Linked DNA regions of Ovis aries. The protein of the gene in region 3 interacts with the protein of the main gene of each other region in a pairwise test. Links are inferred from orthologs where the notes say so. Each region holds a gene or a part of one and is shown on either strand. Other genes may lie near its edges. The genes, in order: TLE5, EIF4E2 and UBXN11.

What was found.
Region 1: the proteins of UBXN11 (region 3) and TLE5 interact in binary tests that used the Homo sapiens proteins (3 or more experiments, as listed by UniProt). The two-hybrid records come from large-scale screens. The link is inferred for Ovis aries from reciprocal best matches to the Homo sapiens genes UBXN11 and TLE5.
Region 2: the proteins of UBXN11 (region 3) and EIF4E2 interact in binary tests that used the Homo sapiens proteins (3 or more experiments, as listed by UniProt). The two-hybrid records come from large-scale screens. The link is inferred for Ovis aries from reciprocal best matches to the Homo sapiens genes UBXN11 and EIF4E2.

The regions. Positions count from the first base shown.
Region 1 is NC_056058.1:18,528,102-18,537,927, forward strand, and holds the end of TLE5 (TLE family member 5), read left to right. Parts: intron 1-938; coding exon 939-1,002; intron 1,003-2,345; coding exon 2,346-2,390; intron 2,391-3,015; coding exon 3,016-3,078; intron 3,079-4,300; coding exon 4,301-4,375; intron 4,376-4,457; coding exon 4,458-4,679; 3' UTR 4,680-5,552; downstream 5,553-9,826. UniProt on the Homo sapiens protein: Transcriptional corepressor. Acts as a dominant repressor towards other family members. Inhibits NF-kappa-B-regulated gene expression. May be required for the initiation and maintenance of the differentiated state.
Region 2 is NC_056055.1:234,169,898-234,180,342, reverse strand, and holds part of EIF4E2 (eukaryotic translation initiation factor 4E type 2), read right to left. Parts: intron 6,206-10,445; coding exon 6,101-6,205; intron 4,547-6,100; coding exon 4,394-4,546; intron 4,293-4,393; coding exon 4,156-4,292; intron 2,432-4,155; coding exon of another isoform or gene 2,359-2,431; exon of another isoform or gene 2,166-2,358; intron 1-2,165. UniProt on the Homo sapiens protein: Recognizes and binds the 7-methylguanosine-containing mRNA cap during an early step in the initiation. Acts as a repressor of translation initiation.
Region 3 is NC_056055.1:240,545,493-240,555,937, forward strand, and holds part of UBXN11 (UBX domain-containing protein 11), read left to right. Parts: intron 1-1,136; 5' UTR 1,137-1,293; intron 1,294-2,373; 5' UTR 2,374-2,408; coding exon 2,409-2,479; intron 2,480-3,240; coding exon 3,241-3,269; exon of another isoform or gene 3,270-3,847; coding exon 3,848-3,946; intron 3,947-3,952; exon of another isoform or gene 3,953-4,922; coding exon of another isoform or gene 4,923-5,073; intron 5,074-5,292; exon of another isoform or gene 5,293-5,335; coding exon 5,336-5,436; intron 5,437-5,793; coding exon of another isoform or gene 5,794-5,855; coding exon 5,856-5,910; intron 5,911-6,410; coding exon 6,411-6,487; intron 6,488-8,783; coding exon 8,784-8,892; intron 8,893-10,445. UniProt on the Homo sapiens protein: May be involved in the reorganization of actin cytoskeleton mediated by RND1, RND2 and RND3. Promotes RHOA activation mediated by GNA12 and GNA13.

The DNA.
Region 1 (9,826 bases), on a different chromosome or scaffold from region 3:
GGCAGAACGAAACTCTAAGTCCCCTGGGGTGACCACAAGATGAATGAAATATTTATTGGGTACTTACTGTATGCCAACATGAAGAGCATTTCTGGTCTTAATTCTTCTTGTCCTCACCACCCCACCCCGGAGGCTGGAGCTCAGCAGACTCAGCGACCAAGGCCCGGAGAGGTAGAGGCGTTTGCCCAGAGTCACACAGCATCAGAGTGGCGGGACTGAACTTTGGACCCAGTTTATCTAGTTGAGTTTGTGGCCTCAGCTCTCTACCTGTCACCCTGACACCCCCTTGGGGGCCTTTGAGAAATATCCAAAGCTCATCCTTGCTGGGGCAACCCAAGAGAGGAGGGGGATCACCAGCTCTATTATCCAGTGATAGAAATTTATACCCCTCCCCCAACCATGGAAATCAGAGGTCACAAGATGGGCTGGGGGCCTTTGAAGATTCCTTACTGAATTCAGTCCAGAGCCCTGCCAGTGGGCTCTGGGCCCTTGTAACCTCTCAGCAATGTCTGTTTATTCCTTCTTTGCTGGAGAGTTTTGCCCAGTGGGTGGGAGTATGGCCTTTGAAGCCAGCTTCCTGGCTGTGTGACCTTGAGCCTGTTCACTCAACCTCTCTGAGCATCCATTGCATCATTTTTATGAAGGAGACTGACGTTAACAGCCCTGACCTCGTTGGATTTCATGATAGGAAAAAGTTTCTTTGAATCCCTGTCTGACCTACAGTCAGGATATTTGCTCTGACTTCTGTTTTTATTATTTTCATTGCTTTCTCCACCCCCACATCTTCAAGGTGGGTTTCATCATCCCCAGTTTCCAGCTAAGGCACCTTTGGGTCCCCTTCCCCCCTCTTCTCTCTGACCCCCACCAAAGTTTGGGGCTCCCTTGCACAATGAGGGGGACATCATCCCAGCCCTGGCCCTCCCCCTCTTCTTCTTCAGTCTGAAACTCGAATGTGACAAGCTGGCCAGCGAGAAGTCAGAAATGCAGCGTCATTACGTGATGGTAAGCCAGCCCGGGGGTCTGGTGGGCAGGGCCAGAGGACCCCAGGTCCCCCTCCAGCACTGGCAGCTGCTGTCTGAACCCTGGCCATCTCCTCTGGGATGTGCGAGAAGTCAGGGTCTGCTCTCCGCTCAGCCAGCCCCTGGCCGGGCTGAGTTAATCTTGTTGGCCTGGCTGCCGGCCCAGGCAGTGGCCGAGGTGCCAAGCCACCGGGTTGCGGCCTGGGCCTGCCAGGTCCCTGGCTGTCCTTGGCAGCGGAGGAGCCAGTGGCTGTGAAAGCCAGGAACTGGGGTTAGAGGGGGGTTGTTGATCCCTCCCCTCCCCACCCCCACTGTCTAAGCATCCCAGGCTTAACCCCTCCTAGTCCAAGCTTGGAGGAGGACTCCTGGAGGGCCCCCTTCCCCAGGCAGGAGGCTGACACTCTTTTGAGGTGGGTGGGTGGAAGGGAGGGAGGGGGTGACACTTCCTTCTTGGGCCTGACATTGGAGACCCTGCCCCTGCACACTGCTGGAATCACTTGCTTCGCTTCATATGCACCAGGTGGTGATTTCTGCATCAAAACCCCTGCCTAAGCCCAGCCCAGAGCCCACTTCCCCCAGGCCATGGGGGAGGCAGAGCTGGACAAGGAACCTCTGGATTCAGAGGGATGGGGCTGGGGCACTCCAGAAGGGTATGCTCCTGTTTGGAGAAAGACTGCATGGAGAAGGAGGCACTGCAGCTGGGGTCCTGATGAATGGATAGGAGCCAGCTGGGCAGAGAAGGGGAGACCACACAAACCTGGCTTTCTCCCCCTATCTTCCCTGGGGGGTGATGGGGAGTCATAGGAAGGTTTAGAGCAGGGGAGGTGCAGGGTCAGATGTGGGGCATGAGGAGGGGGGGCGCTGGCCCCAAAGGCAGACCCAACAGGATTTGTTTATCCTCGATTATTTATACCCAGGAAGACAAACTTCCCTGGAGTCCGGGGCCACCCGCAGACAAGACACATAAAGATAAAAGATTAGGAGCCTTGGAGTGTGTGTGTGCCTGTGTGTGTGTGCGTGTGTGTGTGCGTGCGTGCGTGCGTGTGTGTGTGTGTGTGTGTGTGTGTAGGGGTTGAGGTCATTATTCCAGAAATGGGGCATTCAGGGCCCCACTGGCGTCCCTAGCATCCTCACCAGGCACCTGGGCCCCAGCTCCAGGTGTGGGTGTCTCCCCGCTTCCGACTCCATCTCTCTCGCCTGCCCTCCCCTCCTCCTACCTCTCTCTTTCTCCCCCTCTTTGTCTCTCTCTGTCACTTCCCCTGTGTCTTTTGTCTCTGGAACCTCACATCCTTCACCCACCCCCATTTCTGTCTCCCCCCTACACAGTACTACGAGATGTCCTATGGCTTGAACATCGAGATGCACAAGCAGGTATGCCCCCTTCCCCCCTCCTCCGCCCCCCTGCCCCGCCCAGGCAGGTAGGAACCCGCCACCCCTTGGCTGAGAACCAAGACTGCCTTGGTATCCTGTTACCTCCGGAGCCCCCCCACTTCTGTTCTTTCTCAGGCCTCCCTGGGAGGTTGCTCTCCCTGAGGGGGAGGGCAGAGGCTTTCCCAGGACCTGCCACCCTCACTCCATTGTCTCTCTTTTGTGACAGCCCTGGGGGAGGGGGGTGATATGACCTGCCAACCCACCCTCCAAACCCTATCTCAGGTGTGTTAGAGAATTCTGATGCCAGCTGCCCCGACCTCTTCCTCCCTCCCTCTCACGGAATGCTCACTACCTGTGAGGCATCGGGCATCTTTCCAGGGCCACCCAGACCCCAAGCCACTGGGCCTGGATTTCGCTCTGTCCTGGGCTCTTAGCTACCCTCAGAGACTCAGCCCCCGGGGCCACTTTTGCTGCTGATCGGGTGCCCATGGGCCTGATGAGTCGATATGATCCTGGGACTTGCCGGCCTCCTCTTGGATTAGACAGAACCGCTGGGCTTTCCAGGGCTGGTCTGCACCTGCCCTGGCTGGCTGCTGCCCAGGGCTGAAGTGTCTGTCTGTTCCAGGCTGAAATCGTCAAGAGGCTAAATGGGATATGTGCCCAGGTCCTGCCCTACCTGTCCCAAGAGGTGAGCAGAGCCCCCGGGGGTCTGCTGGGAGGAGATAGACCCTGAACTTCCCTCAGCCCCACCCCTCTGTAGGCATCTGTGTGCCCCAGGGCACACGACTGCCTTCTCTGGACCTCCCAGCCATCAGCCAGTCTGTGCAGGAGAAACCCCAGGGGTGAAGGGAAGGACCTCACCCTGCTGTGGAATTCCCAGCCTGCGTGAGTCATTGCACCGTAAAAACGTCAGCTACATTGCCGAACACTGCACCAAGAATTTTGTTTCTGCCTTTCACCTTCCTGAGATTCGTCTGCCTGGTCCTGCTGGCCGCTGGGTGTACAGGAAGGCACTCTGCACACAGAGGCAGACATACAGACAGACACAGATGCAATAGACAAATGCACAGATGCAAAACATAGACACACAAGCACATGGACACGCAAAGGTCTATGCACCCAAGTCTTCCTCTTCTGTTTCCTGGGATTCTCGGTGTGAAGCCCACTGTACGCGCACACACACGTCTGGGTCACGTAAGACCCCTCTGCTCTCTGCCAGATTTACCGCTGATAATTCATCATTTCCTTTTTAAACTCTGCTGGTACCTTAGGGTCCCACAGGGGATGATGCCCAGGGACAATTCCAGGAGGACACCATGGAAGCCCCAGAGAAGGAGATTCTTAGGGCCCTGAAAATCTAGCTTTATGGTTTCCTTTCATAGCAGGGGCTCCCTGGTAGCCAAGGCACAAAAGGAGCTTGGCAGATTTTAGCATCTGATAGCCAAAGAGACAAATTTTCAGGGAAAGCTGGGGATTGCCCCGAACCTCGACTCGTACCCCAGCTGTGCCAGAATTCACTGGGCCTTCACGGCTGCGGAGGAAGAGGAGCTTGGGTTAGCAGACCTCAGATCTCTTCCATTAGCAGTCCTGGTCTGAGCTCTTAACAAGCTTTGACTTCTTTGCATGTGGCATTGGTCATAGTCCACGGTTTCCTAAGATTCTGGTACCAAGCCCTTTGGGCCTTCTGTGCATCTCTATGTATCCCATTTTCCAGATGAAGAGACTGAGGCTTTGTGAAAGGAATCACCTGGAGAGAGGGGAGTTTCCTGAGGGGAGAGATGGGAAATCGAGGAGAGGGAGGGCTCTAACAGTGCAGATGGGAGTGGGACTTCTGGGCTCTGTGCCACAAATCCCAACAAGACGGGGTGAATCATCTGTCACCTCTCCATCCCCCACCCCCCACTTTCCAGCACCAGCAGCAGGTCTTGGGAGCCATCGAGAGGGCTAAGCAGGTCACTGCTCCTGAGCTGAACTCCATCATCCGAGTACGTCTGGGGTCTTGTGGGGGGATGGGGGAGGGACAGGTGGGCTCAAGGGGGCTAATGCTCCCCTGTTTGTGTACTGCAGCAGCAGCTCCAAGCCCACCAGCTGTCTCAGCTGCAGGCTCTGGCCCTGCCCCTGACCCCCCTGCCTGTGGGGCTGCAGCCCCCTTCTCTGCCGGCGGTCAGCGCGGGCACCGGCCTCCTCTCTCTGTCAGCGCTGGGCTCCCAGGCCCACCTCTCCAAGGAAGACAAAAACGGGCATGACGGTGACACCCACCAGGAGGACGACGGCGAGAAGTCGGATTAGTGGGCGGCTGGGATGGGGAGGGTGGGGGGTGGGACAGAGGGGAGACAAACACTGAGAGAGAGGAAGGTTCAGCACGCGAGACACAGTGATAGCTTGGGATTGGCCAAACTCTGGTAGTATTTATGTTAGCTGCCTGCTGGGGCTGTCGCCCTGCTTCTGTGCCCTACCCTGGCTTGGCTCCTACCCCTAATTCCTGGCCTCCTCCTCCCCTGTAGACTGAATGGGTCAGTACCCACTCATACCACAGATGAGGCAAGCTGAGGCCTGGAGACATAGGGGAGGCCAGGTCCTAAGGGAGCAAAACCTCAAGAGGTCCAACACCCCCTGCATTTCCCTGATTCACACACATGTAACTGACAGTCTGCCCGCCAGGAGGGGGCCCCCACCCCAGCCTCCCATTCTGGCACTGCATGCAAACACAATGCTAGCTGCCCCTCCCCACCCTGGGCACCCCGCGTCTCCCCCTCCCACCCACTCACCCTCCATGAGTTCCTGATGCCCGCACCCACAAAAGAAAGAGGGGCCACCGACAGCAAGCTTAGCCCCAGGGCAACAGTGGGGCCAGCAACTCAGAACTCCCTTTCTCCCCTTCCCGAATAAAGATGAGGGTACTCAAGTTGTCTTGGTTTTTATTCCCCCCCCCTTTTCCAGTATACTAGCTTGTCTTTTAAGAAAAGGGATATTAAAAAAAGGAAAAAGACAAAAATGTTAAAAAAAAAAAAAAAAGCAACACCCACACCTGTGTCTGTATATAGCCTTTTAGACTGTCAGCTTTTGTTGTGTTCAGTCGTTTGATCTCTACGGAGAGAAGTGAAAATGCTGTATCGAGGGTGGGCTTAGCTGTGCCTTTCAAATAAAGACGTGAGAAGGTTGGTTGCTGTGTTTCTGCCTCTGTGTTGTGGGCTGCCCCGCGGTGACTCCCTTCCCAGGGGAGGAGGGGGGCCTCCTTCAAGCCTCAGGCCCCTCCTCTGTTACGGGACTGGATATGAACAGTCCTGAGTCCAGCTTGTAAATATAATTTAGCTCCTGAACGCAGTCCCTAGCCCAGAGATGGTCAGATGGAGGCTCGAGGTCACACAGTAAAGCCTAGGTGTTTGAGGTCTGGTCAGCTGTTTTGACAAGTAGGCAAAAGGACTCAGAAAAGCTAAGGGGTCACTGAGCATAAGTGGTGGGACTGGTTTCTGAGCCTCAGGCCAGATGGTTCCTAAGTGAAATTCTTTACCCTTAAGAGACAGATGTTAAGACCATGAGCAGTCACTGTGCGTGCATTACAGATGGCTTCTTCCAGATCAGAGAACTGATTCCTGGCTGGACCTCAACTCTCCAAGGACCACTTGGAGCCTGCCTTCACGCCCCTGCATCCAAGCTGGACCACCTGGGGAGGGGGAGCCAGGAGGAAAGGTGGTTCCCTAGGGCACCTGGCACTTCAGTCAAGAGAACATCAGTCTCCCCACCCAGGATATAGGGCTGAGGGCAAGGAGCGGGTTGGAGAGTGGGAGCTGTCATTTTGACTTTGCAGTATCTTCCATCTTGCAAGATCTTTGCCAGGGCTTCTTGGCATAGAACTCTCACTCTCAAGGGACTAGGAGCATGAGGAGACCAGGGAATTCTCAACTATCTGCCTGATCCAGTGGCTTTCCAGGTGGCCAAGGGCACAGGGAATGAGGCAAGGGGTAGTGATGGACAGCCAACTTCAGAGAAAATGTCTTCTGTCCCTCAAGAGAAAAAGAAGGTGTAGAGGGGACAGGGGGACCCTCCTTCTGCACCCCACTGCCTCCCCCACTACAGAGAAATCACATGCAAAAATCAATGTAATAAGACCACTCCCTGGTTAACATGTATCCTCATATGTTAATGCAGGTACTTCCCCAGTGATCCAGTGGTTAAGACTCTGTGTTCCCAATGCAGGGGGCCAGGGTTCAATCCTTGGTCGGGAAGCTAGATCCCACATGCTGCAACAACAATAGCAAAAACCCCCAAAACTCATCTCTGTGACTTGGGGAATATAAACTGTTAACATCTGCCTCCAAAAGACTGCTTGGCACCCAGCAATGCCCCTGGACTTCAATGTTAGATCCATGCAACAGGCATGCCACCAGAGTGTTCAGAGCAGCTGTAACAAGTCATTATTGCCCCAAACTGGAAACTACCAGCTGTCCATCAAAGGGCAGAAGGGTAATTTGTGATACCAGCTGCCTATGGAATACTATGCAGTCAGAAAAAGAACCAGAAACCACCTCACTCAACACCTGCAGCACACACACAGAACACTGAAAGAGCCAAGTACAAAAGAGAAGATGCTGTGTGATTCCATTTATATAGAGAACAACAGGTCCAAGTGACCTATATAGTTTCACATGTCATGGGGTTACCCAAGCAGACTTCTACCCATGATGGAAGCTTGGGGGCTGATTACGTGAGTGTATTCATTTTGTGATAAGTGATCAAATGATAATCTGGGCACTCTTCTGTGTGTTCTACTTCACAATTTTTATCTTTTTGCCATGTGGCAGGCAGGATCTAGTTCCCAGGCAGGGGGATCGAATCCCTGCATTAGGAGTATGGAGTCTTAACCACTGGACTGCCAGGTAAATCCCGGCAGGGGGGGTATCTTTTTTTTTTTTTTTCTCAAAATTTTAAAAAATGTTTCAAAGACTAGATTATCTTTGGCCTCTGTGGCCCTAGCAGAGACATTACTTTGCCGACTAAGGTCCGTCTAGTCAAGGCTATGTATGGTTTTTCCTGTGGTCATGTATGGATGTGAGAGTTGGACTGTGAAGAAGGCTGAGTGCCGAAGAATTGGTGCTTTTCAACTGTAGTGTTGGAGAAGACTCTTGCGAGTCCCTTGGACTGCAAGGAGATCCAACCAGTCCATTCTGAAGGAGATCAGCCCTGGGATTTCTTTGGAAGGAATGATTGCTAAAGCTGAAACTCCAGTACTTTGGCCACCTCATGGGAAGAGTTGACTCATTGGAAAAGACTCTGATGCTGGGAGGGATTGGGGGCAGGAGGAGAAGGGGACAACCGAGGATGAGATGGCTGGATGGCATCACGGACTCAATGGACGTGAGTCTGAGTGAACTGCGAGAGATGGTGATGGACAGGGAGGCCTGGTGTGCTGCGATTCATGGGGTCGCAAAGAATCGGACACGACTGAGCGACTGAACTGAACTCTGTGGCCCTAGGAATAAATTCTAGGACCAGGACACCCTGAGGATCTGCTACCCACCATTCTAATTATTCCTCCTCAGCAGGCTAGAGCCAGGTTGAAACATTTTGCCTTTCCTTGAATAGAGACCATTGCACATGCTGTTCTGGAACAGTGACTTCCCCCCCCCCTCCCTTGGGTTCTAATCCCCCCAAATCCCAAGAAATCATTTTTCTGACCTTTCTTCACAAAGCAAGTTTCCCTGGTACTATGAAAATTTCAACTGGGATGGGAACAACAGCTATTACTAATACATCTCATAATGGTTCTGGACACAGAGTCTCCAGCCTGGGCTTAAATCCTGACTCTTCCTCTCACAGCAAGGTGATTCGAGCAAGCAAGCAGCTTCACACTGCTCTGGGTCTTGGTTTTCCCTATCTGTGAAATGGGTATAATCACACCGTTGTCATGAAGATCCTATCATGGACCCCGGCATTCATTCATTCTTCCTTTAAAAAACAAAAACATACTGAGCTCCTACTCTGAGCCCTGGGGACAGCAGGGAAGGAAAAGGAAAGACTTAAGTCCCCACCCTTGTGGCCAGATAGACACATGCGTTGGGAAAATACAAAATGGGTCAGTGGGTGTATGGATAGAAACCGAGGCAGAAAGGAAAGTGAAGTCACTTGTCTGATCTGTTTCTGGGAAATTGTTCCGAGGATTAGCAGAAAGCCTGCAAGGGCTCAAGAGAAGTCAGCTGATATTATTAGTACTATTACTGATGTAGCTGGCAGATGAAGGGCGTGGCGGGGGCGGGGGGCTCTGCTCCAAAGAAAAAGGGGCCCGTAGGGCTGGGAACGGTAAAGCGAGGGCCCTGGAGTCTGCTGTGGGGCGCGTGACCAGAGGGTCTTGGGGCGGGAGAGTGGGAGCAATCGCAGCCGGGAAGCCGGGGCAGGCGGAAGTGCGGTCTTCAGGGCTCCCTCCCCGCCGCGGCCTCCCGCGCTTAACGACCACGCCGCCGGCGACCTCGGCTAATTGATCTGCTAATGGGCCCCGCGCCGCGGCCGCGCCTAATGAGGCGGGAGGAAGAGGAGGAGGGGGCGGTGGGGAGGGTGGAGGGGAGGAGGGGGAGAGGAGGGAGGAAGGAAGGGGGAGAGGAGGAGGGGGAGAGGGAGGATGAAGAGAAGGGGGGTAAGGGGAGAGAAGGGAGAGGCAGGAGGAAGGAGGGGGGTTAGGGAAAGGAGGGAGAAAGAAAGAAGGGGGGATGTGGGGGAGGGGAGGAAGGCGGGGAGCGAAGGAGCAATAGAAGAGGGGGAGGGAGGCAAGGGGGAGGGGCAGAGGGACCCCAGAGGGGGCTGCAGGGGCACAGGTCCTGGTGAACCCAACTGTTCTGACTAACCCACCCTCCTCCCAGACCCTAGGGCCTTCTGGGAGTCCCTCTTCTACCCTCTCCCCCTTTTTAAGGGTCTTTCCAGCAGCGAGGATCCCTGTGCTTCAGGGTATGCAGGTCCCTGACTCTCTCTAAGCCAAGATGTTCCTGTGCATACAATCATGTCCTCCCACAGGCCCCAGTGGCAAGAGTGTGACCCAGCACCCTCCTGCACCCCAGTCCTCCAGAGCCAGGCTCACCTCCTCCTCCTGATTTGGCCTCCCAGGCTGAGGAAGGGTCAAGGGCTAACAGATTTTCCAGCCAGCCGGGGAAAAAAAGCATCCTGTAAATGAGGATGTGACATTAAACATTCACATTCCAGGCTGGCCAGGTACCTCTGCTGCCTGAAATATTTATGTAGCTTTCCTCCTTCCAGAGTCTGGGAGTTTGCATCTTGAACTGAGATTAGACTTGGAGGAGAAACAAAAAGCACCTGCAGTGATGTGGAATCAGGGACCTTGGCATGACCACCCCACACGCTCACCCCATTGTACAGACAGGAAAACTGAGGCCTGAGGAAGGGCAAAAAGTGAAAGTGAAGTCGCTCAGTCATGTCTTACTCTTTGCAAC
Region 2 (10,445 bases), about 6.4 Mb from region 3:
GACCCATTTCTCCTCTAAAATAAATGAATAAAGACAAGTCACCTACCCTCAGCTGTCTGTGCAGAGGGGCCTGGTCAGTCTTCCCAACACTGTGGCCACCGAGTGCAACAGGCCCTGTCTTCCCCCTCCCATCCCAGGCCAGAGGCACAAAAGGACTCAACAGACTATTCCAAAGAGGAATTTCCTCACAAAAGACACTCCTGTTTTATACGGCCCTGTGACCCAACTCTTCTCCTGGTGGTCCCATGATTCTGGGGTGCAAGTCTGGCTGTGTTATGAGGCTGTCCACCTGCAAGGACCCAAATCTCTGAAACCTCAGCCACACACCTAAGACTTGATTTAACCATTTTCCCACTTCTCAGTGGGCCTGTGCACCCTTAAGGGACTGACTGTTAGCAGTAAACAAGGGTGTGAGGCAGCAAGCAGTGTTCCCTCTGCAGCAAAGCGGCTCACCATGCCCCTTGCGCAGTGGCAGCGGTCACCTCTTAGCTCAGCAAGGGGTGCTAGCAAGGAGTGCAGCAGGAACAGGCAACAAGCAGTGTGATGAAGGCAGGCTGGGGAACGAGACACTTGAAATAGGACTTTGGAGACTGGACGGCAACACAGCAAGGGGGAGGGACACCTGCCTGAGACAGCTGAGTACCCCTAGAACACTCTCCTCACCATTTCCAGGACCCCTCATCTCCAGAGTACGTGGGAGAGAGTAAGAGTTGGCTCTTTCCTCCTCACATCCCTTCAATTCTCAAGTCCAAGCAGTTGCTGTTCCTTGGCTCAAACACAGCCACGCCTGTGGGACAGCCACAGGGGAAGGACAAAGCAGAACAGTCCTGGCTTCCATTCAGGTGTGGCAAGGCTCAGAGGGGTCAAGGTCAGTTCGATGCTTTCCAATCAACTCTTACACTGGTAGGTGGCATCAGGCTCAACCTCTGGACCAGCTATATTAGCTGAAATTAAGATCAATACATGTGGACATCACAGCGGAAGGCAAGAGGGAAAGGGCCATAGAACGTCATTCTTTGACAAACACTGAAAACATAGAAAATATGTATTTCCACACATCAACCATCTCCATCTTTCAGGAACTTTAAGTAATCTGGGGTAAGTGATCACAAAAAGCAGCAATGACAGAGCCACCTCCAGGATGCTCAGCCTGTGTGCTAGTCCTGATGTGTGGTCTGTGGGATCCCAGGCCTCATGGAGACAGATGGGCAGTCAGGATGGCACAGCTCAGGGTGTCGCTGCCAAACTGGAGCAGCACAGCCACTTTGGAGAACTCCACGCTATGCCCACAGCCACCTTCACAGATGCTATCAGGCCACCTGGCCTAGTGTGGGCATATGTGGTTTATTTATGGTTTGGGTGGAAGCTCTAAAGAAAACCTAAATTCACATTAAGCTTTGCTAGATTTCTCCATGCAGGTTAGGGGCCTGAAGGCCAAGTTGCAGCACACACATGCCGAGCCTCAAAAACACGTGAGGGGCTGGGCCATGCTGTGGTCAGATGTCCTAAGGGGCAAAGTCACACAGGACAAAGACACGTCCCCACCCCCAGGTCCTGATGCACGACAACCCCAGAGACTGGGGAAAGGGAAGGGCTAGAACTTTGCAAAGTGTCTGCAGGGTGAGCTCAGAGAGGAAGATGAGCTGGCTCCAAGGGGAGAGCAGAAGGGGAAAGGCTGGCAGAGAGCTTGCGGTTGGGAGGCTTTGGCCAGTGAGGAAAGCCCACTTACACAAAGCAAGGAAGCTCTACACACACAGCGGCAAACAGATGGAAGCAAGGCTTTACCTCCAAGCAAGAGATGTCTTTGAAGTAAGACAAATGAAGTCAGCCAAGCGAAGGTCAAGGATCCCCCTTTCCAACCTGATGGACTTTTGAGCCGAATTCTAAATCAGAAATCACTTTGTTCCTGTCCTCCGCATGACTGGTGGAAACTTAAATACCAAAAAAACCGGGGTCTCTTTCTGAGAGATGTCACCTCAGTGTTGGACCTCAGTGGAGATGGAACAAAATACCGTGTGATGTGATACCATGGGCTTATGGAAATGAGGCTGCATTCCCCGGACGGCCCTCCACGGAGCAGTCTGTGCCATTCCTTACTATGGTGACAGTCAGTCTGAAAGGCCACTTCTCTGATGCACCGTAAAGAGCAAGAGCATGAGACAAGCTAGTTTAGCACCATTTATTAAGTGATCTCAGCTGTTGTTGTAGCTGCTGCGTGTCAGCCTGTTCTTAAAACAGAAAATGCTCTTCCAGTTCCTCTTGTCCGGGACGGAAGGATCTTCCAGGTAGCACACCAACAGAACAAGAGACTCCGATGACGCCGGCTTCAATGACGGTGCCATCCAGAGAGGGAGAGGGTCATGGCACATTCAACCGCGGCTTCCAGAGGTTTTGAAAAAGGAGCCTTTGGGAGCCCAGCCTGCCTGGCATTCTAGTGGAAGTGCAAAAGGTTGGCATGTTGGGAGAGAGAGGGAGCCGCGAGGGGAAAGTGGCATCTAGGTGTCAAGGAGGGGTTTCTGGCCCCTGTGGCTGCAGGGCTGGAGGACTAGGCAGACCTCTGATAAAGCAGCAAGCAGCAGACTAAGGCACCAAGCCCCAAGGCTAGCCTAGACTCTATGGACCTGTATACATGGCTACAGAAGTCAGGAAGAGCTGCTTTGGGGTATTTGAAAGGGAGAACAGTGGAGAGGTGGGAGTTGAAAAATATCTCTTTCCCTTTCCTATCCGGGTGAAAAGGTTGCTTTGGGGTGGGGTAGGGGAATGGGGGGCATTTGGGAATACTAAACACAAGAGTCCTAGGAAAAGCAGGTGTGGATCTCTCCAGCCTAGACTGAGTCTGGCTGGAGGGCAGAAACTACTTGTATTTCAGAACAAAGAATAAGAAAAATCTGCCAAGAGAAAAACAGTGCTGACCCAGGGCTGTCAAGGCAAGTCCTCAGGGTCGTAATGGCTAATAACTGCTGGTGACTGTGATGAGCCACACCCAGCCATTTCAGACAGACCACCTCCTATGGCAGCATTCCCAGTTAAAAACTGGAGCTTAGCTGGTATGAGCCAGTTCCACCCACAACATGATCTGTAAATGCATGGGAAAAGATTCCCAAACGATCTGCCTGCTGAGCGCCATCATTGGGCTCATTACTATAATGCGTTTAATAATAGCGTGATGACGTTATTACTAATGATGATGAGAGCAATAATCCTTGACCCTGTGAGAGCATTCTCCATCTGAGGACCTTTAATTACAAACACTGAATAAGCCTCACAAACAACCCTGCTCAGTAAAGCACTCTTACCCCCCACTTTTCCGATGGGATAGGTGAAGCGGAGTGGCAGGTACTTCAAAGGCACGCACTAGTATCTGAGTCAGAGGACAGAACTACACCTATAGGTCCTGACTCCTAGCTGGCTTGCTCTCCCTTCACATGTGAGAAAACTCTTAATAGCCACTCCTCACAACATGTCTATGACACCCTGCGTTTATTTATGATCTTCAGTCACTGAAGGAGCAACCCTGGCCAGTGATTCTCACTTGTGGACGTCCAGCTCCACTCCCCTGAGTCTCAGGTAGACTGCTGAGCTAACTTCCCCTCTGGCATCCTGCTCCCCTTAGAGTCTACTCTCACACACACACTGTTCTGCTTCCACTTCGACTTCAGCTCTGCACACAAGGAAATGGAGTCATCATTCCTGTAAAGAAGTCAGTTTCCCAGGACAAAGAGAGCAGACTGAAGCTAACAAGTTAAAAAGACATGCAAAAGTGGAGTGAGGGACAGACAGGGAGAAGGGCCTCACTGTTCAGTGAAATTATTTTAGAAACTGCAAGAAAAAGATTACTTTGTCTTTCATTTTAAGACAGTGGTTAGTGAACGAAAGACAAGACAGCCTGTGTGAATACAGCAAGCCCAGGTGGTTCAGCTAGGACTCTGCACAAGGGATCTCTCATCCAGAGCACCCAGCGTGCAGGCAGGCAGAGAACCGCACCAGCAAGAACTGCTATGAGTGGACAGAAGCACTGGGGGAAGACTGGTCTGTCCCTTCTCTTTAAGTCAGCCTCCTGGAAGACCGTATTCCTCTGGACCCGACTAAGGACCTACTTTTGCTGAACTCAGGGACACACCCCACACCCGCCCCTCAATCCCCCACAACACATACTTGATGCTGTCGGTGTGGGTTTTGTATTCCATAATGGTGTTGGGAGGTAGGTTAAGCACTCGCCGAAGCGTATCCCGTATGCGGGCCGTGGTGGCTTGATCGCTGGCAGTCTTATTCCATATGGAAATAATGTCCTCCTACAGGAGGGACGACAGAAGCATTCATCAAAGGAAAGTGAGGCAGTGAGAAGAGCAGAGGTAGCACGCGTGAACGCAGCCCTGCCCGCGAGGCGGCTTACCTGGAAGCGGACAGAGACCACAGCCCCGCAGATCTCCTCCCCAACCATGAACTGCTCCCCCAGCATAGCCAAGATGAGATTCTCCCAGCAGCGGGAGGCCAAGCCCTTCCGCAGTCGGATTATCCACTTTCCGCCATTTTTATTTGCATCATCCTGTAAAAAAAAATGTATTAAAAGTTAACATATGGTCTCGTAGCATTAGGGCCAAGGATCCACGATCACTGAGAAGTCTTGCTGTTTTCCAACTATTCAACTCTATAGGAAAATGTGATAGGACTACAGGCAGAAGAAACAAGAAAAAAGAAACACAAGATGGGGATCCTTGCAACCAGCCATTAAAGAAAAACAGCCAAACAGACCCTTTAAACTAATCCTCTTTTGGGAACTCCCTGGCGGTCTAGTGGTTAAGGCTCAGCACTTTCAGTGCCAGGGTCTGGGTTCAATCCCTGGTCGGGGAACGAAGATCCCGCAAGCCACACAGTGTGGCCAAAACCAACCAACCAACCAACCCTCTTTTTTGAAAACTACATTAAAACGAAATAATGTCAGATTTCAAACACAGATCATTCCTTACTTCATTTGCTAAAAGTTTATCAAGTGTCACCATGTCCCCAAATACAGACATGAAGTCACAATCTCTACTCAGATCCAGTCTAGTGAAGCAGACAGACAAGAAAACTAATTACAGTAGTATAGTCTGACAAGTACTCCTGTAACAGAGATACATACAGGAAGTTTATGAAGAACAAGACAGTCAGAAACAACCAGAAAAAGGAAAACATTTCAGCTGGGTTGTAAGGGACACAGGAGCTAGCCAGGTGAAGGGCTCTGTGGGCACTGGGAAGGACACGGCTATGTGCAAACACTGACTGTGAGGCAGAGACCCAAAGAGGAAGATCTAGCTACACTGAAGGGCGGATCTGGAGAGGACAGGTGACAAGTGCTGAAAGGTCATTAGGTGTAAGATCATGTGTGCAACAGAAAACTGCATAAGATTTTTCATTAAGGTGTGTTTGTGTGTGGCAGGGGCGGGGGTTCCCTGGTGACTTAGATGGTAAAGAATCAGCCTGCAATGCAAGAGACCTGGGTTCGATCCCTGGGTCAAGAAGATCCCCTGAAGGAAGGAATGGCTACCCACTCCAGTATTCTTGCCTGGAGAATCCCTGTGGACAGAGGATCCCGGTGGGCTACAGTCCATGGGGTCGCAAAGAGTCAGACAGGATGGAGTGACTAATGACTAAGCACAGCACCGCACGTGTGTGTGTGATCATGTCTGTCTTCTGGAAGAATGCTCTGGCATCAGAACAGAGAAGACGGACTACAGCAAAGAGATCACAGAGCTCAGCTCTGGGTCTCTGGTGACTGCCCCTAAGCTTATTTTTACACACATTAACCATATGTATCCTACGGTAATATATTACACACACACAAAACCAGTCTATGGGAAGAATAATCCAAAAAAAAAAAAATCCTTCAATGTTGCTATAGCACCATGTTAGTGAGAAAACAATCTTTGAAAACCATCCACACAAACAATGGAATCGGGGCTTTTTCCTAGAGTTCCCATTTCCAAAGATATACCAAACTGCTACGCAGCTTTCAAAGAAGACTTTAGCCAACACCTGGCACTAACCCCCAAACCAAACAAAAAACCCCAAAAAACAGAAAACTTCCTCAGAAAAACAGTCTAAGGCTCTCAGTTCTCACCTCCCACATGGGTTTAATTCCTTCTTTGAAGAGATGGAAGTCGCTATGGCCTGTCAGGTCCCCGGGACGCACCATGTGGCTGTAAAACCTCCAGAACTGCTCCACCTGCAGAGAGAGCACAGCAGAGTCAAGAGAGGCACTTTCTTTTTCTTTGAGCGAATGGGAGATTTAAGAGAAGTGCATAACCACGGAAGACACTCTGCTAGAGGCTTTACTTTTTGGAGGACAGATGTTCATTCTGGGGATTGTGGGGGAAGAACAACATGCTGAAGGGAAGAAGACTATCTATTTTGATAAAAGAATAGTGTCATACTGTCAACACAAGAATAAACTCTTTAGGTGAGAAATGCCAGCCTCAGCCAGGAGCCTTAGTTGGTAAAATGTCAATACGCATCCTCCTGTGGAAGCCGCAGGAGAATCACCACATGCTATAGGAGGACTTTGTTTTACACGATAAAAACCACTTAGGTTTGAGGTATATTCAGGGCCACACAACCTCAGCTTGAACCAAATCACTTAAAAAAAAAAAAAAACCGTATTATTAACATTGTGAATTAACTAGTCATTGTGCTCTACAGTACATGCCCATGACTTATTTATAACTGCAAGTTTGGGCACTTCTTGATCAGAGGTTTACTGTCAAAATACAGCATTAGCTACACTGAAGTACATTTTATTTCTATAGAAACAGTTACTGAGCATTAAGTGACAGAATCAACCGCAGGGCTACTCCATACCATGGTGCCCTTGCTAAGGCCCAGATGGTCCAAAAACCAAGCAGGCTTCCTCACTCAGGGTTTAAGTCTCTCTTCTTAGCTATAAAATTTCTCTTTGCTCCTCCTTCACAGTCCTGTTAGAAAATCATACATATTCTCTATAAAATGTATGCTTATTTATATTTATCGCACTATTTGTTTTTCTCACTAGTGATTTGATAAGAAGAAATTACTTCCCTGTATTTTAAGCATGCATTCATGCTAACTCACTGAAGTTAATTCTCTGGTCAATTCTCTGGGATGTTATAGACTATAGCCCACCAGGTTCTTCTGTCCATGGGATTGTCCAGGACAAGAATACTAGCGTGATTGCCATGCCTTCCTCTAGGCAATCTTCCCACCCCAGGCATCAAATTCACATCTCTGACATCTCCTGCATTGGCAGGCGGGTTCTTTACCACTAGCGCCTAGTGGCGCTTCCCGATTGGGAAGCCCTTGATTACTTTCCTATTCCTCTGCAATTCACAGAGAACACCTACAAAGTACCGGAAAGTCAAGTGCACACTTTACAAGTAAAGAAAAAATGTGAAACAGTCTGAAGCAAACAGCTGGTATTTGCCAAGAAACTGCTGAAGAGGCTCTAAATAAACATGAAGCAAGATTCCATAATGTGCAGGTAAAAACAGGTACCATGCAGACAGATTCAGGTCACACCCCCAGATCTGGATAGCAACTGAGGAGAAACCCCAGACTGTGTGAAGTGGCGGTGCCTCTCAATCCTCTAGAGCACAGAAACATGGGCAACATCTCACGTTACAAGGAAATTAGGAACGAAGCCATCTGCAGGACTTCACCTCAGCATTTCACCTCAGCCAGTGCCATGCTTAATGGTACCCAGGGATCTGGGTCAGTGAATGGTCCTATGCATACAACGAGCAATAATCTTTTCCCCACTCTAACACAGTGCAAAGGAGGACCTCTCTGGTGGCTCAGACGGTGAAGCGTCTGTCTACAATGCGGGGGACCCAGGTTCAATCCCTGGGTTGGGAAGATCCCCTGGAAAATCCCATGGACAGAGGAGCCTGGTAATCTACAGCTCATGGGGTTGCAAACAGTTGGACATGACTGAGCGACTTCACTTCACTTCAATTCAACACAGTGCAAAGAAATGAAGCTCACCTTCTAGAAACTGTGGCTCATTGTGAATAAGGACTTGACAGAAGTGGTGGGGACAGAGCATACCAATCACCCCCAATCCTCCAGTGGGGCACTGCTTTATTAACAGTTTGGTCTCCACCAATCTGAGAGCCATTCTCTACAATCTTATAGCCAGAATTCTAAACCCAAATCACAACAGAGATGAAATAATAGGCAGGTTGAGAAATAGTATTAAACCTTTTTTTTTCATTCTCTTAAGGCAACTTTCATTTTTAAAACTTTCAACTGGAACCAAAAAATAAATGTTTAGATTCAGAACATGGAATGCAGAAAAGACTTTAGAAATCATCTCAACTACTTTCTTTGCTTTATAATTGAGAAAACGGTTTCAGAACTTGCCCCAGCTCACAGTCAAGCAGCAGAATGTCCAACGCTTTTTTCATTTCAAGATATAGTTTTCTTAGTCACCTCAAGAACTTCTGAAGTGAAAGTGAAGTCGCTCAGTCATGTCCGACTCTTTGCGACCCCATGGACTAGTAGCCTACCGGCTCCTCCCTCCATGGGCTTCTCCAGGCAAGAGTACTGGAGTGGGTTGCCATTTGCTGTCAAATACTAGGATCGAGGACTAGTGGGAAATACTACTTTAGCATCATTAGTTTCAAAATGTAATTACTTTTCTGTGAGGAATATTGTGGGACACTTCCCAATGCCTTGACTTACATGCATTGGTGAGTATAAAGCAGCATTAACCCAAGATGATGTTGATGATAAAACTGTTCAACTTAGCACATATGTCCAAAGAAAACAAAAGCTCTCCTTGTACAAGCTGGGAACATTCACACATGCTTTCTTTAAGCGGGAAAGAAAAACGCTAGAAATAGTTACAACTATGCTAAAATAACTGAACAAAATCCTGAATGAAAACTGACTCCCCAGAGTTCAGTTTCTTCTCTGATCCTAAGTGCTTAATCAGTTGTTCATAACATAATGGCTGTCATTTTACCTGAAATGTCTAGCAAGCTATCAAAATTTTAATGGATTCAGGAATGTTAGGATGACATGGATAGTTTTTTTAATTCTACTGTTCTCTCTTCCAAGAATTCCTTCATCTTATCACTTGTTCAAATTTTCTGAATTCAATCTTAAACCCATCTCCCTTCAAAAGAGGCTTCTCCAGGCTGAAATGAATCCCTTTACTCTGAACTGCAAGAGCACTCTAGCTATTTATGCACCTCCTAAACTGCCTCCCTATATTAGAAATTCCTGGGCATGTCTTATTTCCCTAAGGGCAAGGTTTTTTAGTCATTTTAGAACCCTATTATGCCCCAAATTCATTCAACAAACTTTTCTTGAACCAAATATGTACCAGTGCACAGTTACTTTTAATAATTCAAAAAAGTCTAAATTTAACAGTAATAAGACAGCACAGGCCAACTAATACAAGATCTTTGCTTGTGGCTGAAATATCAACTCAACATAGTCAGATGATGTGATTATCATTATATATGCATATCTGATGAATAAACAGATAAATAAATACAGCCTGTCTGGTAAACAAACACTTTGAAAAACTGGAGCATCCTGGCATGCATTTTGGTATACAAAGACTGAAAGAACGTAGGCTTTGGAAGGTGGTTTTTACAGCCTACCCAACTGAGTCTCAATACTGGTTCCTCCACTTAATCAAGTTAATTATAACTGACTTGAGACTTCAGAGCAGATACTTAACCCAAGTCTTATTTTTCTCATTTGTAAAATATGGATAACATCACTGGCCTCACAGGGCTATCGTAACGATCAAAGGAAACCATACAGAGTGACTATCACTGTGTGTCCTTCCTCTTTACTAATTTAAAGTTTACTGTCTATTATAGCTTCCTTTTCCAGTGTCTGCATTTTAAACAGAACGAATACCTTAACAACTTCAAGAAAATAACGAATCCTGCATTTGACTCTGCCCACAGATCAATTGTACGAAACACATAACAATCTTCACCAAATAAGATTGGGTTTAGTCGCAGACAAGCCTCTCACGGTTTACAACTCTAGTTTTCTGTGAGGAAGATGAGACAGTGTGTGGGCTCACTGTACTGACAGTGCCCACAAAAAACAGAGACCTCCTTTCCCTTCTGAACACAGAAGAGAGACGCCAGATTATGCGTAATCATGGACATATCCAAAGCCCGATGTGAGGTTATTAAAACAAAAACTTTTAAATTTTGTTCTCAATTTTATTGACAAGTTTCATGAGGACATTACGTACTATAAAATTTTGTATCTCCTATGATATTTTGCACACAGAAAGGACTCCATAAATACCTAAACAAACCAGTGTTTCTGTATTGTCCCCATCTGATCAATTCCACAGTTTATGCACTTATTGATTCTGACATATGTTGCCTATGGATATATAATGAGAAATAGAAGAATGAGCCAATTTAGCTTTATAGATTCAGGTTAATCAACTAAGG
Region 3 (10,445 bases):
GGCGTAGCCGATAAAACAGAAATAGATGTTTTTCTGGAACTCTCTTGCTTTTTTGATGATCCAACGGATGTTGGCAATTTGATCTCTGGTTCCTCTGCCTTTTCTAAAACCAGCTTGAACAACTGGAAGTTCACGGTTCACAGTATTGCTGAAGCCTGGCTTGGAGAATTTTGAGCATTACTTTACTAGCATGTGAGATGAGTGCAATTGTGCGGTAGTTTGAGCATTCTTTGACTTTGCCTTTTTTGGGATTGGAATGAAAATTGACCTTTTCTAGCCCTGTGGCCACTGCTGACTTCCAAATTTGCTGGCTTATTGGAACTTTCACAGCATCATCTTTCAGGATTTGAAACAGCTCAACTGGAATTCCATCACCTCCACTAGGTTTGCTCATAGTGATTTGTCCTAAGGCCCAGTTGGCTTTGCATTCCTGGATGTCTGGCTCTAGGTGAGGGATCACATCATCATGGTTATTTGGGTCATGTAGATATTTTTTGTACAGTTCTTCTGTGTATTCATGCCACCTCTTCTTAATATCTTCTGCTTCTGTTAGGTCCATATCATTTCTGTCCTTTATTGTGCCCATCTTTGCCTGAAATGTTCCCTTGGTATCTCTAATTTTCTTGAAGAAATCTCTAGGCTTTCTTTCCCATTCTATTGTTTTCCTCTATTTCTTTGCACTGATCACTGAGGAAGGCTTTCTTATCTCTCCTTGCTGTTCTTTGGAACTCTGCATTCAGATGGGTATATCTTTCTTTTTCTCCTTTTCCTTTAGCTTCTCGTCTTTTCTCAGCTATTTGTAAGACCTGCTCAGACAACCATTTTGCCTTTTTGCATTTCTTTTTCTTGGGGATGGTCTTGACCATTGCGTCCTGTACAGTGTCACAAACCTCCATCCATAGTTTTTCAGGAACTCTGTCTATCATATCTAATCCCTTGAATCTGTTTGTCACTTCCACTGAATAATCATAAGGATTTGATTTAGGTCATACCTGAATGGTCTAGTGGTTTTCCCTAGTTTCTTCAACTTAAGTCTGAATTTTGCAGTAAGGAGTTTATGATCTGTGCCACGGTCAGCTCCCAGCAAGGAAGTCTGGAATTTTGAATTTTTTTTTTTTTTTTCTGTGGATGAGAAGGAGCCATTGGGAGCATTTAGCAGGGAAGCGACCTGTCAGCTTTGTGTGTAAGAAAATCCCTCTGGCAGTGTGTGGAGACTGGTGCAGGGAGCCACAGGGGCTATCACACTTGGCCACACAAACCGCAAGGATGCCCGCGCAAGATGGCAGGAACTAGGTAGGCTGGGGGCAGATTGGGGAGGCTGGATGCTGGGTGATGGGGGTGAGGAGACTCTGGGCCTGGTCTTTGGAGGGCACCTCTGAGTGAGGGCGGGACATGAATCCCAAATTCCAGAGTCAGGACCAAGGAAGCTGGCGCCTGGTGATGCAGGTCCCCTTCCCTGCTTCACGGGAAAATTCAGGGGCAGGGTGAAGGCCAGTGCCACACATTTCCAAAGTGGAACTAAGGAATGATTCAGGATCTGGTGGAGGGCGTCTGACTAAGATGTCTAGATATTGGACACTTAATTCACTGAATAGTGACCTTTAATTGCATCCCTGATGTTCATTCATCCTTCCTAAAGGAAGAGGAAAGGAAGGGAAACAAGCGTTTATGAGGGCCTTCTGTGTGCTGATGACATCAGCAGTCACAATTTACAGTTTTGAGTAATTCCTTTAGTGCGTGGCCCTGGGCGAGGTGATTTATGTGTGTTACGCCTGCCGGGCTGGTACTGTTACCATCCCCACTTTATGCTACAGGAAAGTGAGGTGCAGGCTGTACTGGCGGATGGTAGAGCCTGCGCAGAGCCTGGGCTCTCGACTCCCTGCCATGTGCAGTGTCCTGGTAGAACCCTGCCTTGGGGCTGCCCCCCTCTGGGTCTGAGACGTTGGAGGTGGGGAGGGACACCGGGCTTTGTGATGATCAACTTTGTGAGGACCAGGTCCTTGATAGATGGACAAAAGCCACTGGCCACCTGGGTGGTCTTGTGCCCGAGATGGAGGTCTGGGAAAGTCCTGGTCGAGTGGCCAGCCTCTGCCCTCATCCCACCCCATTGCCTATTTCTCAGGTACTGCTAGGCCAGAGGCCTCCAGGAGCAGAGCAGAGAGCTAGATATCCAGCGGAGCAGGTGGACATGAAGCATGGGATCCTGAGGCCAGGTTGCCTCCACAAACTTCTGCAGGGGCCGTGGGAAGACATGAGGGGCACCGCTCCCTGGACAGTGCCCTCTCCTCGGAAAAGCAGGCAGGGAAGGGCAGGTTTCAGGCCGCTTCCTGGTCCTCAGTGGCTGTCCCCAAGGGCTGATTTCTTTCTTCTCAGGGGATTCCTGACGGCTAGAATCTAGAAGTAGAAATATGAGCTCACCTTTGGCCTCCCTTGGCAAGACCCGGAGAGTGCCTCTACAGTCAGAACCTGTGAATCCTGGGTAAGGAGCCAGCCTCTTGGGGTCTTTGTGCCCATGCCCCTGCCTCCTCCCGGCCATCACATGAACTCAGAGATTGACTCCTAGCGTCTTGGGGAAGTAATAAGTGATGTATCTTTCCCTGGCCACCTCTTCCTTCTCGTCCTTTCTTCTGGGAGGCTGTCCATGCGTCTAAGCACAGCCTCCAGTGAGGTGTGGGCTGTGGGGTAGCTCGGCATCCTTGCGTTTATTTGTAGTGCATGAATTGGTTCTGCAGACACTGATGGCCCAGACGTTCTGGGCCCGCCGTGTTACATGCTGGGCTCTCCGTGGAGGGGATCCTAGCCATCTTTCTGTCGCTTTCACCTTTGCGAAGCATCTTTTTTTACCCCTTTCCTTGTTCTCCTGAACCCCACTTTGAGTCATCCGTGTCATGGCCAAGGGGGTCCAGAGAGGTTAAGTGGCAGGCCTGGGGTCCTGCAGCCATTTCAGAGCAGAGCTGGGGCTGGGCTCCTGGGCTTGGGGACTCTTGTGGTCCTCTCCCCAAGGCTCTGCCCTTCAGCTGTTGCCCGTCTGTCTCCGTCGGGAGGAGTCAGATACCCTGACGCCTGCGCCTTGGCTCACCCCCAGGCCAGGATGGGATTTGGGGGTGGATGTCCTCACGAGGCATCTTTTTTAGGCTTGGTGGGGGGTGGACCTGGTGCCAAAGCCCCCCCACCCCACCCCATGGCAGTCCAGGGGGTCCTAACTTGTCTGTCTTCCTTCTCCTTCCTGCCCGTTCCCAGGAGGCGGGGGCTAAAAATCTACGGAAATGGTAAGTGTAGGCTGTGGCCCACGGGCCCTCCTCACGCCCTTGCATTTGGGCGGATGGAGAGAAAGAGCATGGTGGACTGCCTTGTCAGTCAGGATGGCTGGCCTGTGATAGTGCTGCCCGTGGCTCTCGGGTTAGGAGACTCCGCACCCTGAACAGGGATGTCCTGACTAACGCTGGAATCCCTCTGCTCACTGTGGGGTGGGCCGTGAGGGCGCCAGACCCCTGCCCGCCTCCCCGCCCACGACAGTGACTTCCAGCCCGTTACAGCCTTTTCTCCTTGAAGCCCAGTCCGAATATGGTTGCCTTGCCTCCTGCAGGCTCAAACCTTTGCATCCCAACCGCGCTCTAGCCCCCACTCTGATGCAGGCTTTGGCCCCTTGGGGCCCCCCAGGAGCTGGGCTGGGAGAACAAGAAGAGGCCTGTTCTGGTTGGATCCTTGCTCTCCAGCACCCCAAGTTTTCTCTCCCCATACACGGGGGGCAGGGAGGAGGGTGAGGGACAGAGTACAGGCTGCTTCATCTTGGCCAGGGCCCAGGGCCTCAGCTGCAGAGCGGTGACCCCGGCATCCCTGTCTGCAGAAGATGAGGTGGACATGCTGAATGGCGCGCATGGCTCAGAAGAAAGGATCTCTGTCCCTTCCTGCTATGGTGGCATAGGTGCCCCTGTGGGCAGGCAAGGTGAGTGCAGACGCCCAAAGGGGTCTGAGTCCCTGGCAGCAGGAAAGACCCCAGTGAGCGAGGCCGCGAGAGGCATGGCCTCTCTTCCTGCCTGCTGTGTCAGAGGCAGCTGCTTCTGCTCCTGGCTGACTATGGGCACGTGCCTGCGCCCCAGACCTGTTCAGAGCTTGGCTTGGCATGCAGCCACACATGGGCCCAGCCCTTAGCTCAGGAGGTCTGTTCAAGCCCCAGGGAAGGCTGTGGCTGGCACCTCAGGCTCAGTAGTTGCAGCCCGTGGGCTTAGTTGTACTGTGACACGTGGGATCTTAGTTCCCTGACCAGGGATGGAACCCTGTATTGCATGGCAGATTCTTAACCATGGGGCCACCAGGGAAGTCCCTAATTTAAAACATTGTCAGCCAACAAAACAGTTGAAATAGTACAGCAGGCGCTCACACATCCTCCTTCTGTATTTGATAATAAGTGACATTTTGCCATGCTTGCTTTCTCTCCATATACACGTCTGGATGAACACAAGTGTATTTTTTTAGATGAACCATTTAGAAATCAATCACAGATATCGTGACAGTTCAGCTCTAAGTACTTCCCTGTGCATCTTCTAGGAGGAAGGGAATACATAACCACAAGGCTGTGATCACACCTCAGAATGTGAACAGCTCAGTAACTGTGACATCCCAGTGTTCCAAAATTTCTCCCAGAGCCTTTTTTTTTTTTTTTTACTGATTTGGGTTCTACCTGAGAGTCATGTCATACATCTGACTGTTGTACTTCTGCAGAGCAGAGTCCCTGCCTCTTTTAAACGATGCTTTTTGAAGAGTCCAGACCACCTGCCCTGCAGGATGGGCCCCATTGTGACTTGTCTCCATGCTGTTAACTTGCTCCTCTGTCCACTGTACTGCCTGTGAATTAGGGGTGAGATTAGACATGTGATTCAGCTGAGGGTGAACTTTTCGACACTGTTTGTAATGTGACGTGGATGTTGTACCACTTCTTTGTACGTCTTGAGTGCATTACTGAATCTCTGTGCCTCAGATTCCCGAAGCAGCTCATTTCCTCAGAAAAGCTGATACACGAAAAGTGTTTAGGACAATCCCCGTTGTCTAGGGGCTTCCCTGGTGGCTCCAAAGGTAAAGCATCTGCCTGCAATGCAGGAGACCCTGGTTTCATCCCTGGGTTGGGAAGCTCCCCTGGAGAAGGGCATGGTAACCCACTCCAGTATTCTTGCCTGGAGAATCCCACGGACAGAGGAGCCTGGCGGGCTATAGTACAGGTGGCAGCTGCTGTTAGCACGCCTCTTTCCATGTTTGGGGATCTCTCCCCGCTCCCCTGGACCCCCACCCCATCAGCCTCAGCTCTAGGCCGGGTTCAAGGACCTTGTCTGGTTGGCAGTCCCCGTGTGCAATGACTCGGAGTTGGTGGCCACCCTGACACGGAAACTGCGGGATCTGGAGCGGCAGGTGAAGGCCCAGACTGACGAGATACTGTCCAAGGTGGGGCCCCAGCGGGCAGAGGGCCAGGGTCTGGTCCCAGGGGTGGAAGGGCCCGGGCTGGGGAGGCCAGTGAGGCTACTCTTGCAGTAGGCCAGAGACGATGGGTTCTCGAACCATCTCCCTGACCAGACCTCCCACCTCGGGGGCCAGAGCACGAAGCCTCGAGGTCTTCACCTCTGAGCCAGGCCTTCGCCCTCAGTTTGGGTGGCAGCAGTGGCTGCTGAGTGCTGGGCACCTAGGGGTGCCCCACACCCTTCCCTCACCTCGGTGGAGTCACAAAAGGGCTCATCTGAGGTACAGAAGTGGTAGCTACACCCAGGGTGGGGCAGGGGCTTCAAGCGGGCTCTTCCCATCCAGAAGGGGCTCCCATGGGCTCTGGAAGCCACCAGGCCCGCTCCCCTCCCACCTCCTTGCTGCAGACTCGGAAGATACAGGCCCTGGAAGAGATGGTGGAGACCCTTGAGAAGCACCAGGGTAAGAGGCCCTCTCTGCTGGCTGGCCAGCTCACCCCTGCACCTCCCCTGGGGCTGGTGACCCCTGGGCATCAGGGCTCCAGAGCATCCGGCTGAGTCCTGTGTGTGTGTGTGTGGGGGGGGGGTCTGGACAATGGAGCCCAGAGAGGAGCAGTGACACCCAGGACGGTGCCCTCCTGTGAGGGACTGCATCCCCTGGGCACAGCCCTAGCCCACCCCTGAGTTCAGAAAAGCCTGGAGGAAATGCCGCCCCCAGGAGCCTTGCTCTGGGGCAGGGGGGTGGGGGGATGGAGGTTGGTGGCCTCCTGAGAGCCCGGGCGTCCCCTCTTCAAGGTCAGGGGAACGGGCCAAGAGGTGGTTCTCAGGGGAATCCCTTGAGTTTTCAGAGGGGCAGCTTCTCTAGGTAAGCCTCAGGCCAAAGCTCTGGTCAAAGCCAGAAGCAAGCAGCCTGGCAGCCTGGGTGCAGGGGCCGTGGAACCCCTCCCGTCTCCCCACCCCAAGGCAAGGTGAGCCTGCAGCGGCAGGAGGAGCTGGAGACGGTGTGCGCGAAGCTGCAGCAGCAGGTTGGGGAGATGGAGGTGAGGGAGGTGGCGTGCCCAGGGCTGTCTGCCCCCAGACCCAGGGTCAGAGCCTGCTCCTCCGGGGTCCCCTCCGCACACACCCCACACAGGGCCCCTCCCCGCTTCCTCACTTTCGTCTCAAACCACTCCCCTCTGGCCTCGGCCTCGGCGGGGGCCTGCCTCGGGCTCTGTGGCTTTGTCAAGTTCTTTCCCGCCTCAGGACCTTGGTCAATGCCGTTCCTTCCACCTGAAATGTTGTTTTTCCCACCTTCCCCTGGTGAGTTTTCACTCATCCTCTCAAAGTCTCAGGTTGAGGCAGGGGGCCCTTCCCTAGGGGACCCCTTGAACTCTGACCTGGGCAGGTTCTCCCTCCTAGGCTTTCTGAGAACCACACCTCTTCTCTGGGGGACCGCAGACACCATGAGGGAGGGAGGGAAGGGCCATTTTCTCCTGTTGGGTGCGGCACGGCCACGACCCGGCGCGGGGCCTGGCCGTGTGCGCGCGTTGTGTCGCTCACAGCCATTCCCTGCCTCTGGAGGTAGCATGGCACTCACCCGGTGTCAGCTGTCTTGCCCCCATTCATACAGCAAGGCTTGAACAGGAGGGACCCTAGGCTCCAAGGAGGGTCCTGGGCACACATGCTCCCTCAGCGCCGCCCCCACGCCCCAGCTCCCTCACCAGCCCTGTCAGATGCTCTTCCTGAGGTCTCCTCTCCACAGAGTTGCTCTCCAAAGCCCCAGCCTAATCCGAGCACAGATGCAAACTCCCAAGCCGCAGCTGCAGCCGAGGGCCCTTTGCACCCAGGCCTGTTCCTACCTGGGGCTGTGGGTGCGCACCTGCTCCCCGAGAAGCCTGCTGGGAGACCGCCCGCAGCCGTGCAGCTTCGCTGCGCCACCGCCACAGGGCTGAGGGCTGCCCACCCAGGGCAGAGGGCACTGGGGCTCCCACCTTCACGCTGTTCACGCATCCATTGCTCCCTTAATTTAGGAAACTCATCCAAAGTCTTTCCTATGTGCCCTGCCCTCGGGGCGCTGACAGTCTAGAGGGGACAGACATATATGCAAGTATGTAGGAAGAGCCACAAGTACAGAATACGCTGAAATAGTTCAAGGGGTGATGCAACAGAGACTAGCCGGGGTTTGGGCCACTCTGAGGGGTGACGTTGGGCGAGAGATACAGAGGATGAGGCGAGTTATCAGGGAAAAGAGGATCCAAGCCGAAGAGAGGAAAGCCTCCACCTCTTCCTGCCACGTCGACTTGGGCTTGTGGCTGGGAGCTGTGGGGAGTGAAAGGGAGGAGGGGGAGAGGCCACAGGGACCACGTCCTGGAGCTAGGCGCAGTGGGGAACAGGGTCCCAGAGTGTGGGAGACCATAGGCAGGTTTGAGGTGGAGGAGTGGGCCGGGGGAGGTAGGTGGACGTGCAGTTTGGGCGATCCAGGAGGAAGAGGGTGTGGCTTGGCCCAGGGGAGAGGGAGCAGAGCGGATGGAGGACCCAAGCCTGCTTTGACACTGGTGCCACAGGCCTTGGGGGTCCTGGGGGTTGGGCACGGAGAGGATCAGGTGATGGAGGAAGCCAGCACCACTGACCGAGACCAGGAGGCTGAGAGGGAATGACGTTTGGGAGTCATGACTGGGCCAGTTCATTTTGAGTCTGAGATGCCTGTGGGAGGTCTTTTAAATGGCTAGAAATCTGAAACTGAAAAGGAAGAACATGTCGCAAGAGATGAACACAGAAGCGTGCTCGTTGGGTTAGGCGCTGGGCAGGTGGCCATCTGCAAGGAGTTGCAGTGAGCCGTGGAGCCGGAGGCCCGGCGGGAGTGGGTGAAGGAAGGGCGTAGGGATGAGGAAGCGGCACCAGGAAGTATGGACGACTCAGAAGCCCTCCTGCGGCAAAGGATTGTGAGGCCAGCCCTGGAGAGGCCACACGGGGGTGGGCATACGTCTGAGCCTGCAGAGCGAGGCATTGCTGCCCCTCCTCCTGGTCGGGCCAGACCCACACGGCTCCCCGCAGCCACTGTGGCTGCCTTCAGCGAGTTCCTACTTGTGCCGGGGTCTGTGCTAAGGACATGACACGTCAGTCATCCTCACAAGCTTCATCTGACAACTCCCATTTTACAAGGAGAAGCCTCAGGCTCTAGGAGAAGGGGCCTCCCAAAGCCACAGAAGGCAGTGGCCCAGAGCCCTGGCCCCATCCCCCCACGGCCCCATCGGCCGAGGCCTGAAGTGGGGGGCTGCACGAATGCCACCTGTTCCCTGGGAAGGGGCTGAGCTGACAGCGAGCGCCCCCTGACACCTCCGGCTTCTCTCCTCTCAGCGGTTCCTCGGTGACTACGGCCTGCAGTGGGTGGGCGAGCCCACGGACCAGGAGGATTCGGAGGATGGCGAGAGGGACTGGATGACGGCCAAGAAGTTCTGGAAGCCAGGTAGAGTTGGGGTCCACCCTGGCCCCTCCTGCAAAGGAAACGCCAACAGCTCCAGATTGCCCGCAGCTGTCGGGACACCTGCTTATTCGCGCCCTGCCTCCCCTGCCTTGCTGCTGTCACGGGGGCAGGAGGGAGAGGCCCCAGCCTCCAACACTGACCACCTAACCCCGGACTCTGCTTGCTCAAGTTGCCAAAGGCTCCAAGGACCCAGAGATGCAAAATGTTAACAAGGCCTCCCTTGTCTCAGGCACCATAGTTTACAAAATGTCACCCATTCAAAAGCTGTGGCCCTTAGAAGCGATTCCCCCTCCTTTGGAAGCCACCCCTCAGTTCAAGGGCTCAGCCACCTCTTTAGACTGCCTCTCCAGCTTGATTTGTAGCAAACCATTGGAATCCACCCACTTCTGTGGAATGCCACCACTTTTTAACTCGACCGCTAATATCTAGAGGGATGCACTCCAGAGATTTGGGGCCATTGAGCTGGCTGGGTTCTGAAAGCTGGGTCCATTTTTCCATCATTGCCTGGAAGGTGGTTCTGCAGGCTGTGGAGTGGGTCACACTTCTTCTGGGTGTGACCAGGATGTGAGGTGGGTTCTCGTCTCCGCCCTCCCACCTAGCCCCGGTGTGATTTGGATACTCAAGTTCCATTCTCTGAGCCTCCAGTTCCTCATCAGTAGATGGGGCTGGGGTAGGGAACTGCTACCCACTCCAGCATTCTTGCCTGGGAAATCCCATGGACAGAGGAGCCTGGCGGGCTACATACAGTCCGTGGGGTTGCAAAGAGTCAGACGCGACTGAGCGCCTTTCGCTTTCGTTCTTCCCCGTGGAGTTAATTAGGAGCCAGTGAGTTGCATGTGGCATCTGGCACTGACCTTGTGGTTGTCAGTCCACAAATGGGAGCTCTCATTGTTTTCCGCCGTCAGAAGGCAGCGGCAGCCTCTTGGGAGCATGATCTTGGCCCTCGGGACCATCTGGAAGACAGCTGCCCTGTCTTAATTTCATAAGTTTACTGCTGGTTAAAAACCCAGGCTGAAAACCTGAGAGTCCCACCTTCTGCACTTTGGGCAGATCCCCCTAAGTCTCGGGGTACAACCCCTTCACCCTTTTTGCAAAAGTATCATTTCCCATTTTTACCACACTTAACTAACTTAAAGCATTTTTATAAATAGCCTTGACATGCGCCAGGAATGATTCCATTTTACAGATAAGAAAATGGAGAGACTTAAGTCTGAAGACTATTGAGGGAAAGGGCAAGACTTAAGGCTGAGAGCCCATTGGGAGGTGGTTACAGTCATCCAGGCTGGGAGATAATATGATGCCCAGCATACGAGTGGGGCTGGTGAGGATGGGCAGAGCAGAGAGATTTAGGAAGAGAATCCATGCTCTTGACAATTGAATGTACATCAGGGAGAGGGTGGGAGGAACCTGGGGTGACCCTGGGGAGCATGGCTGTGGGGAAGATGCCCAGTCCATTTGGGACATGGCAAAGCTGAGGGACTGTATGGTGCCCAGGCCATGCCAGGAGCTGAACCCTATGCAGAGTGCTGAGTGTC